Linked DNA regions of Ovis aries. The protein of the gene in region 1 interacts with the protein of each later gene in a pairwise test. Links are inferred from orthologs where the notes say so. Each region holds a gene or a part of one and is shown in the gene's direction. Other genes may lie near its edges.

Region 1 (4,829 bases):
AAATTTTTAATCTACTAAATTTACAGTGATTTTGAAAAATGACAACAAGCAATATTGGTGAATTTAAGAAAGGGATCACTCATAGACAAGGGTTGAGAATACATTTTGGTAAAACATTTCTCCAGAGCAATTTAGTACTTTTTATAAAAGCCTTAGAAATATCCATTTCATTTGACCCTACAATTCCATTTTCAGGAATTTATTCTAAAAAAAGGAGTGCAGATGTGTATACAAAAGATATGTCATAAATAAGCTGCCTGGGAGAGGGGTAACCTAAATATTAAAGACTAGGAATTTGGGTAAATAAAATATCCAGTGCATAATACTAGGGAGTCATGTTTAACCTAGAAAATGTTTAACATGAAGAAATGTCCAAAATATATGAGACAAGGTTTAAAAAAAGAGTCTGATACTAAATTGCTGGGAACTTGAGCAAATCACTTAAGTGAGCTGAGTCTCTTCTTCACCTGCAAAGCTTAGATACTTAAGGACCCTCTCAACTCTTCCGTTATATGACTCTAGGTATCCATCCTTTCTTTTTTATAAAGAAAATACCATCCTTTGTGGTTCAGTTGGTAAAGAATCCGCCTGCAATGCAGGAGACCTGGTTTCGATCCCTGGGTTGAAACGATCCCCTGGAGAAGGGAAAGGCTACCCACTCCAGTATTCTGGCCTAGAGAATCCCATGGACTGTATAGTTCATGGGGTCGCAAAGAGTAGAACACGACTGAGCGACTTCACTTCACTTCATCGTTGGCAGTCGGTAAATGTTAGGTTGGCAGCTGATTGCACAACTGTCCTAAACTATTTCATTCGAGGATTTACTAAAAATTGCTCACAAAAGAGAAAATATGTGTCTTGGAAGAAAATGTCTACCTTTTTCCTTAGTTGCCTAATCTTTCAGCATCGTGCTTGGTTTTGAAGGTACAGAAAGACACTGGCGCCCTCAGAGAGCAAAGTCTCTTGGGGTAAAACCAATAATAATGTTAAAAAGACTGATGATAACAAATCCTTGAAAGATGAGTTCTCCAAGGAGTAGGAGAAAGGATTCCAAAGTAGAAAGAAAAGCATGTTCACAGACAAGATAGAGAGAGAGGATGGTTGGCACAAAAACGGACCATTATTTGTGGCCTTTCTTTCAGTATCGTTCTTCTCATATTACCCAACACCTCATATATCGTTTAAGGGGAGACTGAGCCACACACTCGATCACCTGTAGTCTCTGGTGCATCCGGTCAGGCCGGTGAGAAACTGACAGGAGTCAGCAACACGGAGGTAACTTCACCAAGAACCCAAGAAGGGGTACTTGGTAGCGGCAGCCCAGCAGCTCCTAGTTCCCGCGGGCACTCCTGGCCAAGGTTTCCAGCCAATCTCAGTTCCTCTAGCTTCCCAGGCCCCTCCCACTTCTGAGCCGCCTGAGAGCTTTGAGGGCGGGGAAGCAAGGGAAGCCTATCGATATCTCTGGAATAAACTATTCTACCCTGCGCCGCCGCCGTCAAAGTCCGCAGTCTTCTCTGTAGATCGCCGAGCGGAAGTTTCGGCAGTGCTGTTCCATCCGCTGGTTTGCAGGAGGCCGAAGCCAGGCTCGCGCCGGAACCATGGTGCGTTGGATTCCGAGATTAGGCAGGGTTGGGGAAGAGGTCCGCTGGCTGGGGGGTAGGGGGAGCTTCTTCTCATGCCTTCCTTAGAGCGGCCCGGGGCCATGGGACTTAGGAACCGTTGCCGACGGGATGGTTCAGGCGGTGATTCAGCATCTCCGGCCTGGCCGGGAGAGTGGAGGTCGGTAGTCTGTGCTGCCGCTGCGACCTTTCCCTGGGGTTTGTTTCGCTTTCCACGGGGTCTTGAACAGTATCTTCTCGGTCTACCAGCCGATTTCGCTCCTCAGATTCCTTCAGTCGAGTAAATTCCGAGCGGTCCAGAGAGGGCCCTAGTGCTCTGTGTGGCAGAAAGGAAAAATAGGGACTTAACTTCAGACCTCCTTGTACTGCCAAGTGCGGACTTGATTCCAGGGTTTGGGTTGCTGCCTGGACCGCGTTCATTTTCTTGGCGGGTCCCTCTGCAGTCTTTTTCTTAGAGCTCTGTCAGAAAAAGCCCTTTTCAATCACTTTGTCTGCTGTTGCTGCTGCTAAGTCGGTTCAGTCGTGTCCGACTCTGTGCGACCCCATAGACGGCAGCCCACCAGGCTCCCCCGTCCCTGGGATTCTCCAGGCAAGAACACTGGAGTGGGTTGCCATTTCCTTCTCCAATGCATGAAAGTGAAAAGTGAAAGTGAAGTCGCTCAGTCGTATCGACTCTTAGCGACCCCATGGACCGCAGCCTGCCAGGCTCCTCCGTCCATGGGATTTTCCAGGCAAGAGTACTGGAGTGGGGTGCCATTGCCTTCTCCGACAAATGAGTGAACCGAAGCTGATATTAGTGATGAAATCAGGGTTATAGTATAGAGCTCAGGGATTCCAGGCCAGTGCCTGCCATTCCAGCGCTCAACCTTCTCACCCCCATGATTAGTCTCCCAAGCACTGTGCTGGTGGACTTAATACCGTCTTTAAAGCTGTAATGGGTCTGTTTTTATGGCAGTTTGTGTCCACTTATGACTTCCTGGGGACATTCTTGTGTTCTCATTCAGTATGAATGAATGAAAGGCACGTTCAATATGAATGTTTTAAGGGCAGTGAAGGTTCAAGGATAAATCAGACATATCCCAAATCGTAGTATGAGGCAGAAAAGTAAGTGTAGATAAAGAACTGGTGGGAATATGTTTTGAGATTTGGGGAGAAAAGATGGAGAAGATTTCAAGAGATAGACATTTGAGCTGACTTAAGAAAAGGTAGTAATGTTTTTGACCATTTATTAGGGTCTGAAAAAAGGGAAGAATATTAGCAAAGATAGAAAGGAAAGTGGACATATAGGAACTTTAGTAATTGACTAAACCCAAACCAAGTACTATGAACAGTGTTAGAACTGCTAGACTGATTGGGAAGCTATGTACCATTTAGATCCGCCCCCCCCCATCTCCTTATAAATGTAAAATTGACTTGCAGCTGATTACAGTAGTAATCTTCCAATGAGACTGCAATAGCAGCTTTTCCTTAATGCTGGATGGAGAGAGATGGGAGAACATTTTTTAATGATAGAGCTTGTGAAGATTTTGAATTTGTAATGTTCTTGTGTTAATAGGTCTTTTTTCATTTACTTTCAGTTTCGCAACCAGTATGACAATGATGTCACTGTTTGGAGCCCTCAGGTAAACTTTTGGTTACTGCAATGTGTTTAGAAGCTTATGGGATTGTAGGAAGTGAGAAAATGGAATATAATCATTTTATACGTTCCTGAAACCTAAGTTTATCATTAAAGTCAGTCTTCTAGTTTTAAGAAACAGCATTTGAGATGTAACTATGCCCACTTGAGATTTGGGATTGCTAAATTATGTTAAATATATAAAAGGGTCTTGTAATGACTAAGGTGTGTTGGGTTTTTTTTTTTTTTTCATTTTAGGGCAGAATTCATCAAATTGAATATGCAATGGAAGCTGTCAAACAAGGTTCAGCCACAGTTGGTCTGAAATCAAAAACTCATGCAGTGTTGGTTGCATTGAAGGTAAGTAAAGCAATAAATATATCTTCCTCCTTTAGAAAACACTGTAAAATGTTAGTTTCACTATATAAATAATAAAATTATAAACTTACTCTTTTGTCTTAAATGATGTTTCTATTTAGAGAGCACAGTCAGAACTTGCGGCTCATCAGAAAAAAATTCTCCATGTTGATAACCATATTGGTATCTCAATTGCGGGACTTACTGCTGATGCTCGACTGTTATGGTGAGTATGACCTGGAAAACAAAAGAAATATCCCTTTTGATTCATAATTGATTACATATCTAGAAACAATCCGGATATTTTAGGAAGTTGTCTGCTAGAGTGTTTATAAGTTAAGATTATTAATACCTTAATGTATTTGGGCTCAGTTACTAAGTATTCCATTTCTTGATCACTGTAGCAGTAATTAATAGGATTAACCACATTAACATTAATGCTTTTTAGAAGTCATTGAATAATGTATTACTTGTTAACTCAGTATATATAGTTTGATGTTAGATCTGGGAAGAGCTTGACACCAGGTTTCTGAAGGATCAGCTGAACCACCTTTGCTGTCTTTAATATACCAGTATTCATTTGACATTTATTTTTTGCAAAGCTCAATACTGGATACAAAGAGTATACAAAGGTGAATCAGACAGATCTCATCTTCTAGGAGCTTAAAATCTAGTAGAATATCTGCAATACAAGGTAGAAAGTGGAGAGCAACAGGTATATTTCTTTGGAGGGGGTGGGGGATAAAGATTATTTCCAGTTGAGAGGCATATTGCAGATGAAGAGCTGGGGCTTTGGGATCACACAGTCTTTAATTCCCACTTTTAACACTCAATCTGATGTTGCTCTAGTTACTCAAACTCTGAATTTTTTTAGTATTTTTTTTCCAAGGTTATTGACAAATAGCCTAACATGTAGAACACTTCATACAGCATCTTTCAGTGTATGTGTTGGTAAGTAGGAGGTAGTTAGCCACAAATAATCTCGTCTGTGATTTAATTAGGAAAGGAGGAATATAAACACCGAAGACAGTTAATAATGCTGATGTTTAAAATTTTCAAGTTATTTGGTGAGTTCCCTGTTCTCTTAGGTCAGCAATATAGTGATTACATTAGTGTTTTCTGTTAGCTGTTGAAAATATATGTTGCATTGTCAAACATTTTACTTAACCCAATCTTTCAAAAATATTGTCACTTGTAATCGTTTAAAAGCTTTATTGGATATTTTACATTATTGCGCA
Region 2 (4,797 bases), on another chromosome or scaffold:
ACTCTTTGCAGCCCCACGGACTGTAGGCCACCAGGCTCCTCTGTCCATGGAATTCTCCAGGCAAGAACACTAGAGTGGGTCGCCATGCCCGTCTCCAGGGTATCTTCACGACCCACGGATGGAACCCATGCCTTGGCAGGTGGATTCTTCACCACTGAGCCACCCTCGAAGCCCCTTCAAAGACTTTAGCGCCAAATAAGAAGAATGTAAAATGTCTCATGACTAATTTTTTCTACCAATTACACACATTGGTAATGTTTGGGGCTAAATATTAGTTTCCTGTCACCCTGCTTGTTTAATCCATATGCTGAGCACATCATGAGAACCGCTAGGCTGGATGAGTTACAAGCCGGAATCAAGACAGGCAGGAGAAACATCAACAACCTCAGATAGACAGATGACAGCACTCTAATGGCAGAAAGTGAAGGGGAGCTAAAGAGCCTCTTGATGAGGATGAAGGAGAAGAGTGGAAGAGCTGGCTTAAGACTAAATATTAAAAAAAGATCATGGCATCCGGCACCATTACTGCATGGCAGATGGAAAGGGAAAAGGTGGAAGTAGTGACAGATTTCCTCTCGGGCTCCAAAATCACTGTGGATGGTGACTGCAGCCTTGAAATCAGAAGATGACTGCTTCTTGGCAGGAACGTGATGACAAACCTGGTCAGTGTGTTGCAAAGCAGAGGCATTACTCTGCCGACAAAGGTCTGTATAGTCAAAGCTATAGTCTTTCCAGTGATCACGTACAGTTGTGAGAGTTGGACCGTAATAAAGGCAGAATGCCAAAGAATTGATGCCTTTGAACTGTGGTGCTGGGGAAGACTCCTTTAAGTCCCTTGGAGAGCAAGGAGATCAAACCAGCCAGTCTTAACGGAGATCAACCCTGAATATTCACTGAAAGAACTGATACTGAAGCTGAAGCTCTAGTATTTTAGTCATCTGATGTGAACAGGCGACTCATTAGAAAAGTCCCTAGTGCTGGGAAAGATGGAGGGCAGAAGGAAAAGAAGGCGCCAGAGGATGAGATGGCTGGATGGTATCACTGACGCAATGAACATGAACTTGAGCAAACTCCAGGAGACGGTGAGGGATAGGGAGGCCTGGCCTGCTGCAGTGATGGAACAACAACAACAATTAGTTTCACTTATAAAAAATATGGCTACTGGAACTTAAAATTGCACATGTGGCTCACATGGTATTTCTGTTGGAGAGCGTGACTCTGAAACTCACAAATCTCAGTGCAAATTATGGCCTCTCACCTCCCTACCTCTGTGCCTTGAGCAAGCTAAGTAACCTGGCTGAGCTCAGCTAATATCGTAACAGCGCTGACGTCACAGAGCAGCCTGGAGGAATAAATAAGATGGCATGTTTAAACTGCTTATGTCAGTATGAGGAATATGGCTATCGTAAATAAGCTCTGGCTGGTGTTATTTTTCTCTCTCCTCCCCCACACAGAGTACATTCCAACCCCTTGGGCAGCCGACGGCAGGCCGGTTGGAGCATCACTGGTGAAGTTGCTTGTGCCCTGATCCACCGCCCCCGCCCCGGGTACAACACCCTTATCTGGATCCCCACACTCCCCTGGGTTGGCTGATACCTTCAATCTCCCTGGAGACAGCTGGTCATACTGCAGGGAGGCTGGGTGGCATCACTGCTCTGTGACCCAGTCTCCCTCCTGCTCCCAAAAGAAGAACAGTCTCTTCCACCCATGGGTGGTTAAGATACTTTCCTTCTACCGCGAGGGTCTCTGGATGGACGGGACGAAGCAGCAACCTGCTGGTCATGGGCACCAGCTGAGACAGTAACTGAGGTCATCTCTGGGAGGCTGTCACCCCTTCTTCTCCTGCTCCTCTGCTGTTTCCATCTCTGCCACTGGAGGTGTGTGTCTGCTCCTCTGGGAGGGGGAAAGCAGAGCCCTGGCTGCAGGCATGCCAGTGGGCGCCTTGCTCTTGTGCGCAAGTCCAGGTGTGTATGTGTGTGACCATGAGGCTGGGTATGTAGGGTGCCCCTGTGTCTGGCCGTGTGTGCATGTGGGTGTGTGAGTGTGCGCTGTGCGTCCTCATTGTTCTCCCAGCCCTGCCCCAGAGCCGAGCAGAGAAGGTGACCTTGAAGAGGTCACAAGCAGCAGCAGCAGCAGCACCATGGCCTCAGCTGCTTCCGTGACCAGCCTGGCAGATGAGGTCAACTGCCCCGTCTGCCAAGGGACCCTCAGAGAACCGGTCACCATTGACTGTGGCCACAACTTCTGCCGCGTCTGCCTCATCCGCTACCTGGAGATCACCAGCCTGGACCCCGAGGAGCCCCCGACCTGCCCACTGTGCAAGGAGCCTTTCCGTCCAGGGAACTTCCGGCCCAACTGGCAGCTGGCCAACGTGGTGGAGAACATCGAGCGTCTCAAGCTGGTGTCCCAGATGGACTTAGACGAGGAGGACGTCTGCCCAGAGCACGGGGAGAAGGTCTACTTCTTCTGTGAGGACGACGAGATGCAGCTGTGCGTGGTGTGCCGGGAGGCCTGGGAGCACCGCGCCCACACCGTGCGCTTCCTGGAGGATGCAGCGGGGCCCTACCGGGTATGAAGGGGAAACTGAGAGCTTTCTGGGGGTGGGTCTCGGATGCGACTAGACTGAAAGAAGCAGAGCGGAGGGGTGGATGATTTGGGCCACTCTCTATTTTATCATCAGCCAGGCAATAGACCCAGGAATGCAAGATCGTGTGTTTGTGTTTTAAGTATGTCCTATATTGTTTCCTTACGGCCAACGCATAATAGTAGCTCAACAAACACACAGTGAGTGAATGAGTCACCAAAACACGAGCATGTGTGTCTGGCCCTGGATCAGTCAGGTGTGTCTGAGGATGCCTGGGTTTGCACTTGAGGAAGTGATTGCATAGTGTGTATTAGTATTAATGTTTGCACGTTTCCCAGTGGATGCAATGTGTTTGGGGGGATCTGACAATTTGAGTGTGTATGTGTAACTGAGTGCTCATGTTTGTGAGTAAATTAGTGTTTACGTATATGCAGGTTGGGTAGATACATATAGTGTGTAATTTTCTCTGTCATTAAATGAGCGTATGCTGGTTTTAGTTGTTTATGCATCTTGTTTTATTACAAGTAGGTGTCTGTGTATATGTGTCAGCTAGTTAATTAGCATGTATTGGAAGAGTTCTAAATATATTTTGCAGTGTACTTTGATGGGCATTAATATGTGTATAACTGTTTGTAACTCTTCTCTAGAGCAAGAAATTTTTTGTATGTTTGTTTTGGGAGGGTGTTTTGGCCACATCGTGTGGCCTGTGGGATCTTATTAATAGTTCACCAACCAGGGATCGAACCTGTGCCCCCTGCAGTGGAAGCACAAAGTCTTAACCACTGGACCACCAGGGAAGTCTGCAAGAGCAAGCAATTTTTAAAATAAGTCATTGATTTTTTTTTTTTTTTTTTGCATTATCCATGTTTCTTGTTCCCTCCAGATCATACTCAGAAAGTTGATTCCATTCATAACAGAGGTTGTTTGGAGGTGCTCCTTTTGGGAGATGTGAGAAAGTTAGGATAATTTCAAAGAAGGGCATATCAAATTCAGGACAGACCCTAGATACCATTTCTAAAGGCAAAAGAAATTAGAGTCTGTTTAGCCTGATGACAGGGCTTCCCCGGGGGCTCAGCAGTAAACAATCTGCCTGAATGCAGGAGACACAGGAGATGAAGGTTCGATCCCAGAGTTGGGAAGATCCCCTGGAGGAGGGCATGGCAACCTACTCCAGTATTCTTGCCTGGAGAATCCCATGTACTGAGGACCCTGGAGGGCTACAGTCCATAAATTTGCAGAGTCAGACAAGACTGAAGCGACTGAGCACATTTACACAACCTGATAGCAGGAAGGCTCAGGTGGGAACATGGAATCATAGCCTATCATGGTGCAGGTTAAAGGGGGAAAGCCCTGATCAAAATTCTTGGAGGGACAAACAAGAGGAAAAAGACCCAAAGAGAGTCAGCTGTTAAGGACAATAACAACCCAGGCTTTGTCAGCTGAGGCCCAACTCCTTCCATTGGGTCACTCTATTCCAGGAGACAGAGATGACACTTCTTCACAAATCATTGTTTCCATCTTAAATATTTTTTAAAAATTAATTGAAGTATAGTTGATTTACAGCTTTGTATTAGTTTCTAGTGTACAGCAAAGTGGTTCATAAATATTTTCAGGCTCTTCCATTATAATTTATTTCAAGGTATTGAATTTAGTTCCCTGTGCTGTACGGTAGGTCCTTGTTGTTTATCTGTTTTACATATGGTAGCTTGTATCTGCTAATCCCAAACTTCTCATTTATCCCTCCCCCACCTCCATCTTAGATATTTTATGCCCCTTCTTTCCAGGAACAAATACAGAAGTGTCTTGAATGTCTAAGAAAAGAGAGAGAGGAGATTCAAGAAATCCAGTCAAGGGAAAATCGAAGGATACAAGTCCTCCTGGTAGGTCATCATCCCTTCCTTAGCCCTCTTGCTTTCCTCTGGCTCCAGTGCCTATCTGAAATAAGGAAACATCGCATAAAGGGGCTTTGAAGTCCTTCTGAGTTTGAATCCTGAAACAAATTAGCTCTATGACCTCAAACAGCTCTCTATGCTCTGTTTATTTTCCTGTGAAGTGAAGATTAAAAATCGTCACTATCTCACTGAATTGCTGTAACGACTGTCCCTTAGTGACACGCACGTTGTTACACTTGGTAAACGGCAGGAAGTAAGGTTTCCTCACCCCCTCCTTACATCTCCTCCCGGAAATGGCAGGCCAGGTGGAAAGGAAACCAC
Region 3 (3,752 bases), on another chromosome or scaffold:
ACCAACAAAGCAAAGCCTCTGTCCACACAGACTTCCATATTAAAGTGGAGGCCGACAAATACACAAAGTGCTGTATGATATAATGGCTACTGGTGTGATAAATGCTGTGCAGAGAAATGAAGTGAGGCAAGGGGTTAGAGATTACTGGCAGAGAATGGGGTGCTCTGATAGGTGAAGTGGTTAGGAAAGTCCTCTTTGAAACCCGAGGGAGAAAGAGTCAGGCAGTCAAATGAGGAGAGAGCCTTCCAAGGCAGGAAAAATAGAAAGTACAAAGGTCCTGGGGCCAGAGCTACTTGTGTGCAAGAATCAGCAGAGAGAACAATGTGGTTAGAGCACAGCAGGAACTGAGAGGAGGCGCAGATGAGGTAGGGCCTGGTAGGCCATTACCAAGACTTTGGTTTTTCTTTTGACTGATAAGGGAAAACTATTGGAGGGTTTACAGCAGGGAGGGGAAGTGATCTAACTTTTGTTCTAAAGGAGTCCTGTCCTTACTCTGGGGAATACATACACTATAGGAAGAGAAGAATGGAAGTTAAGTGGTTAGTTTCAACAGCCTGTGTGAGAAAGGAGGGCTGGGACCAGGGTGGTATTGGTAGAAGTAACAAGAAGTGATTCGACTGGGAATATATTTTAAAAGGTGTTCCAACAGAATGTGGTGGCCCAGAGGCTGTCTCCCCAACTCATTTGTCAACTATTTGAATAATCGCATTCAAAGTAGAAAAGCAAAGCCATTTTTAAAACACAAGTGTTTATTGTTAAGCAGGGGATAAATACCCAGTAGTCAAGGGACACTAACATTAGGACAGAAATAGAGTCAAAGATAGGCAGGACTCCTGCAAATGGTGATTGGATGCTAAATTTTGCAGAACTTTTTACACTTTGCTATTTACAAAAATAATTTTAAACAAAGGGATAGAAGTACACAATACTATTTTCCAACCAAAGAAAAATCCCTTTTAAATATCGCTTTGTCATGAAAGACAGGACCCCTGAGGGTCTTTCATAACTCTTACAGGGTGTGACGCTGGCGTGCAGCCAGCACTGCTAACGGTTCTTTGGGTGAGGGAGATTTCATAAGCCAAGAAATGTGTTAAAACCACTCAGAGGGAACCCAGGGGCTACTGGCCCTCCAAGGAACACCGAGATGTATGAGTCGGCTTGGCTGAAGGGTGGTGAGTCCTTTAAACCTGAGCAGGTTGAACCTCTCTGAGAGATGGGTCTTTTGCGCTTGCACGGTCCAGGCTACGGCCCGACCCACATCCAAGGTTGGGTCTTCGCCTTTATCCAGCGGCCCCCGGACCTGCGAGCGCGGACGCCGAGCCCTAGTCCGGGCCACCCCGGCCCCGCCCCTTGCCTTCCCCGGCCCCGCCCCTTGCCTTCCCCGGCCCCGCCCCTTGCCTTCCCCGGCCCCGCCCCCTCCAGCCGGGCGGTGCCTGAGCGGGGCCGTCAGCTCGGCTGTGTGGGCGGAGCTTGCGCCGCCGCCGGGACCCCTGCGCGCACCGCCCCTCGCTCCTAGCCACCGCGCGTCTCCTCTGACACGCACTTCCTGCGAGGCCTCCGAGAGCACCTTAGCCTAGCCGAATCGAGCTGCGCCCTGCCCTGCCTTTCCAAGCTGTTCGCCATGGTGGATGAGCTGGTCCTGCTGCTGCACGCGCTTCTGATGCGGCACCGCGCCCTTAGCATCGAGAACAGCCAGCTCATGGAACAGCTTCGGCTGCTGGTGTGCGAGAGGGCCACCCTGCTGCGCCAGGTACGTCCGCCGAGCTGCCCTGTGCCCTTCCCCGAAACGTTTGACGGCGAGAGCTCCCGGCTCCCCGAGTTTATCGTGCAGACGGCGTCTTACATGCTCGTCAACGAGAACCGATTCTGCAACGACGCCATGAAGGTGGCATTCCTGATCAGCCTGCTCACCGGGGAAGCCGAGGAGTGGGTGGTGCCCTACATTGAGATGGATAGCCCCATCCTGGGCGATTACCGGGCCTTCCTCGATGAGATGAAACAGTGTTTTGGCTGGGATGACGACGAAGAAGACGAAGACGAAGATGAAGAAGATGAGTATTAGGCCCGGAGACCCTCGGGCCTAGAGGGGGAAGGGCACTGCCCTCCGCCACCCCCGCTGCCTCCCCGCCTCGCCCCGCCCGGAGCCACCGCGCTCCCCTAACGCTGTGATCCCCTGGCCTTTCCCTCCCCTCTGGTTGTCTTCCTCACCCTCCACTCTCTGCCGTAGTGCTTGTCTTTGTTCCAGGCATAGTGCTCTCTAGTCACCTGCTGCTGAGGCTGGGGCGTCTCTGAAGTGCACTCTGCTGCCCACTCTGGCCAGCCCCAGGACCCTCACTGCTCGTTAGAACTGTGTTCTGAGCCCCAGCTCTAGGGCAAGCCCCTCTTACAAACCGGTCAGCCTATACTCTGCCTTGCTGACTGTCAGGCCTGCACCTCTGCCCAGCGACCTGCGCTGCCACCCAAGCACCCTCCACCAGATTCCAGCGATAGACCCGGCCTTTGGAGATCAGGAACAATCTAGAAGATGCCTTTGTGGGCTACACCTCCTGGGACACTGATTTGGACTGCTCACCAACAACTCCACCCCCCTCCCCAGGGGCTAATCTTTCAACTTGATTAATTGTTCCCTACTAACTCCAGGTCTTCCTCCTGGCCCACCAGATTGCTGCAGGGGCCCATTGTGCCTGGCAACCCAATTGTTGACATTTCTCCTATGCATCAGTTTTGCACACCCGTCATCTTCATTTCAAAATTGCAGCAGTCCCATCGAGGTGTGCATTTGGACAAAAATACTAAAAACCGAACAATACAAACAAAAGCAAGTACTCAGCCCAGCTCCTCAATGCTACCTGGAAAAAGCATTTGCATTCTTTTCAATAAATTTCAAGCACTACCAAAAAAAAAAAAAAAAAACAACAACAGCAAGTGTCTTTTCATGGTTAAGGGCTATCATTGGCCTTTGCCACTTTCACCCTGACTCATTATTCCCACTGGCATCAGGGAATCTCATTCAACTTTCAATCTCTGTACTCCCCACTGTCACGACTAAACTCCAGAGGACAGTTACTACAGGGCTTTATGGGGAAACTGGTACTACCCCCACTGATGCCTTTCTTATAGCCCTGGTGAAGGGAGTGTTCTCTGGTGCTTCTGAGGTGGCATGGGTAAGGGGTGGCTGAGCAGGCAGGTGGCACACCATCCCAAACTGGGACAATTTTGAGAGAGCTTCAAGGGGACACTATTAATAATTAGACTGGAACAACAAGTACAAGTCAGGACACACAATATTTCTATTTTCATGAACTTTGGGGTTCTTCCTCAACATGGTCAGAGATGTTCTGCCTGTTAACTCTTAGTGCCTGTGGGGTGCTATTGATTTTAGGCTTCAATACATAGTGTAGCACATTGTTTTAAAACCCCTTTTAGGTGCTTGAGCTAACATTAAATCCCAGATCCTGGATAAATGTGTGCATACTAAATGGAGCCTGATTTGAACATTTCATCTTCCTCAGGCAGATCCCCTTAGAATTCCCACCCATCCATGTGCCCCAGATTCCTGCCTGAAGAAACTGACAAGATACCTAGATCTTGTACTACTGCTGTCTGAGCTATGCTGAGATCTCTCTGTGGGCCTGGAAGGCTCAGAGGCACTGAGGTAGTGGGGTGAGTGTTGAGAAGAAACTGCATACCTTTGTGGGGCAATTACCCAGTTAAGTCGCTGCAGTGTTAAGTCAGGGAACCTTGGTCCAGGG

Evidence for each region. The genes of interacting proteins can lie anywhere in the genome.
Region 2: the proteins of PSMA1 (region 1) and TRIM10 interact in binary tests that used the Homo sapiens proteins (3 or more experiments, as listed by UniProt). The two-hybrid records come from large-scale screens. The link is inferred for Ovis aries from reciprocal best matches to the Homo sapiens genes PSMA1 and TRIM10.
Region 3: the proteins of PSMA1 (region 1) and LDOC1 interact in binary tests that used the Homo sapiens proteins (3 or more experiments, as listed by UniProt). The two-hybrid records come from large-scale screens. The link is inferred for Ovis aries from reciprocal best matches to the Homo sapiens genes PSMA1 and LDOC1.

The regions. Positions count from the first base shown.
Region 1 is NC_056068.1:37,961,990-37,966,818, forward strand, and holds the start of PSMA1 (proteasome subunit alpha type-1), read left to right. Parts: upstream 1-1,539; 5' UTR 1,540-1,598; coding exon 1,599-1,601; intron 1,602-3,196; coding exon 3,197-3,241; intron 3,242-3,492; coding exon 3,493-3,594; intron 3,595-3,713; coding exon 3,714-3,817; intron 3,818-4,829. UniProt on the Homo sapiens protein: Component of the 20S core proteasome complex involved in the proteolytic degradation of most intracellular proteins. This complex plays numerous essential roles within the cell by associating with different regulatory particles.
Region 2 is NC_056073.1:27,844,258-27,849,054, forward strand, and holds the start of TRIM10 (tripartite motif-containing protein 10), read left to right. Parts: upstream 1-1,664; 5' UTR 1,665-2,140; coding exon 2,141-2,569; intron 2,570-4,368; coding exon 4,369-4,464; intron 4,465-4,797. UniProt on the Homo sapiens protein: E3 ligase that plays an essential role in the differentiation and survival of terminal erythroid cells. May directly bind to PTEN and promote its ubiquitination, resulting in its proteasomal degradation and activation of hypertrophic signaling.
Region 3 is NC_056080.1:94,166,593-94,170,344, reverse strand, and holds LDOC1 (protein LDOC1), read left to right. Parts: upstream 1-1,539; 5' UTR 1,540-1,621; coding exon 1,622-2,062; 3' UTR 2,063-2,919; downstream 2,920-3,752. UniProt on the Homo sapiens protein: May have an important role in the development and/or progression of some cancers.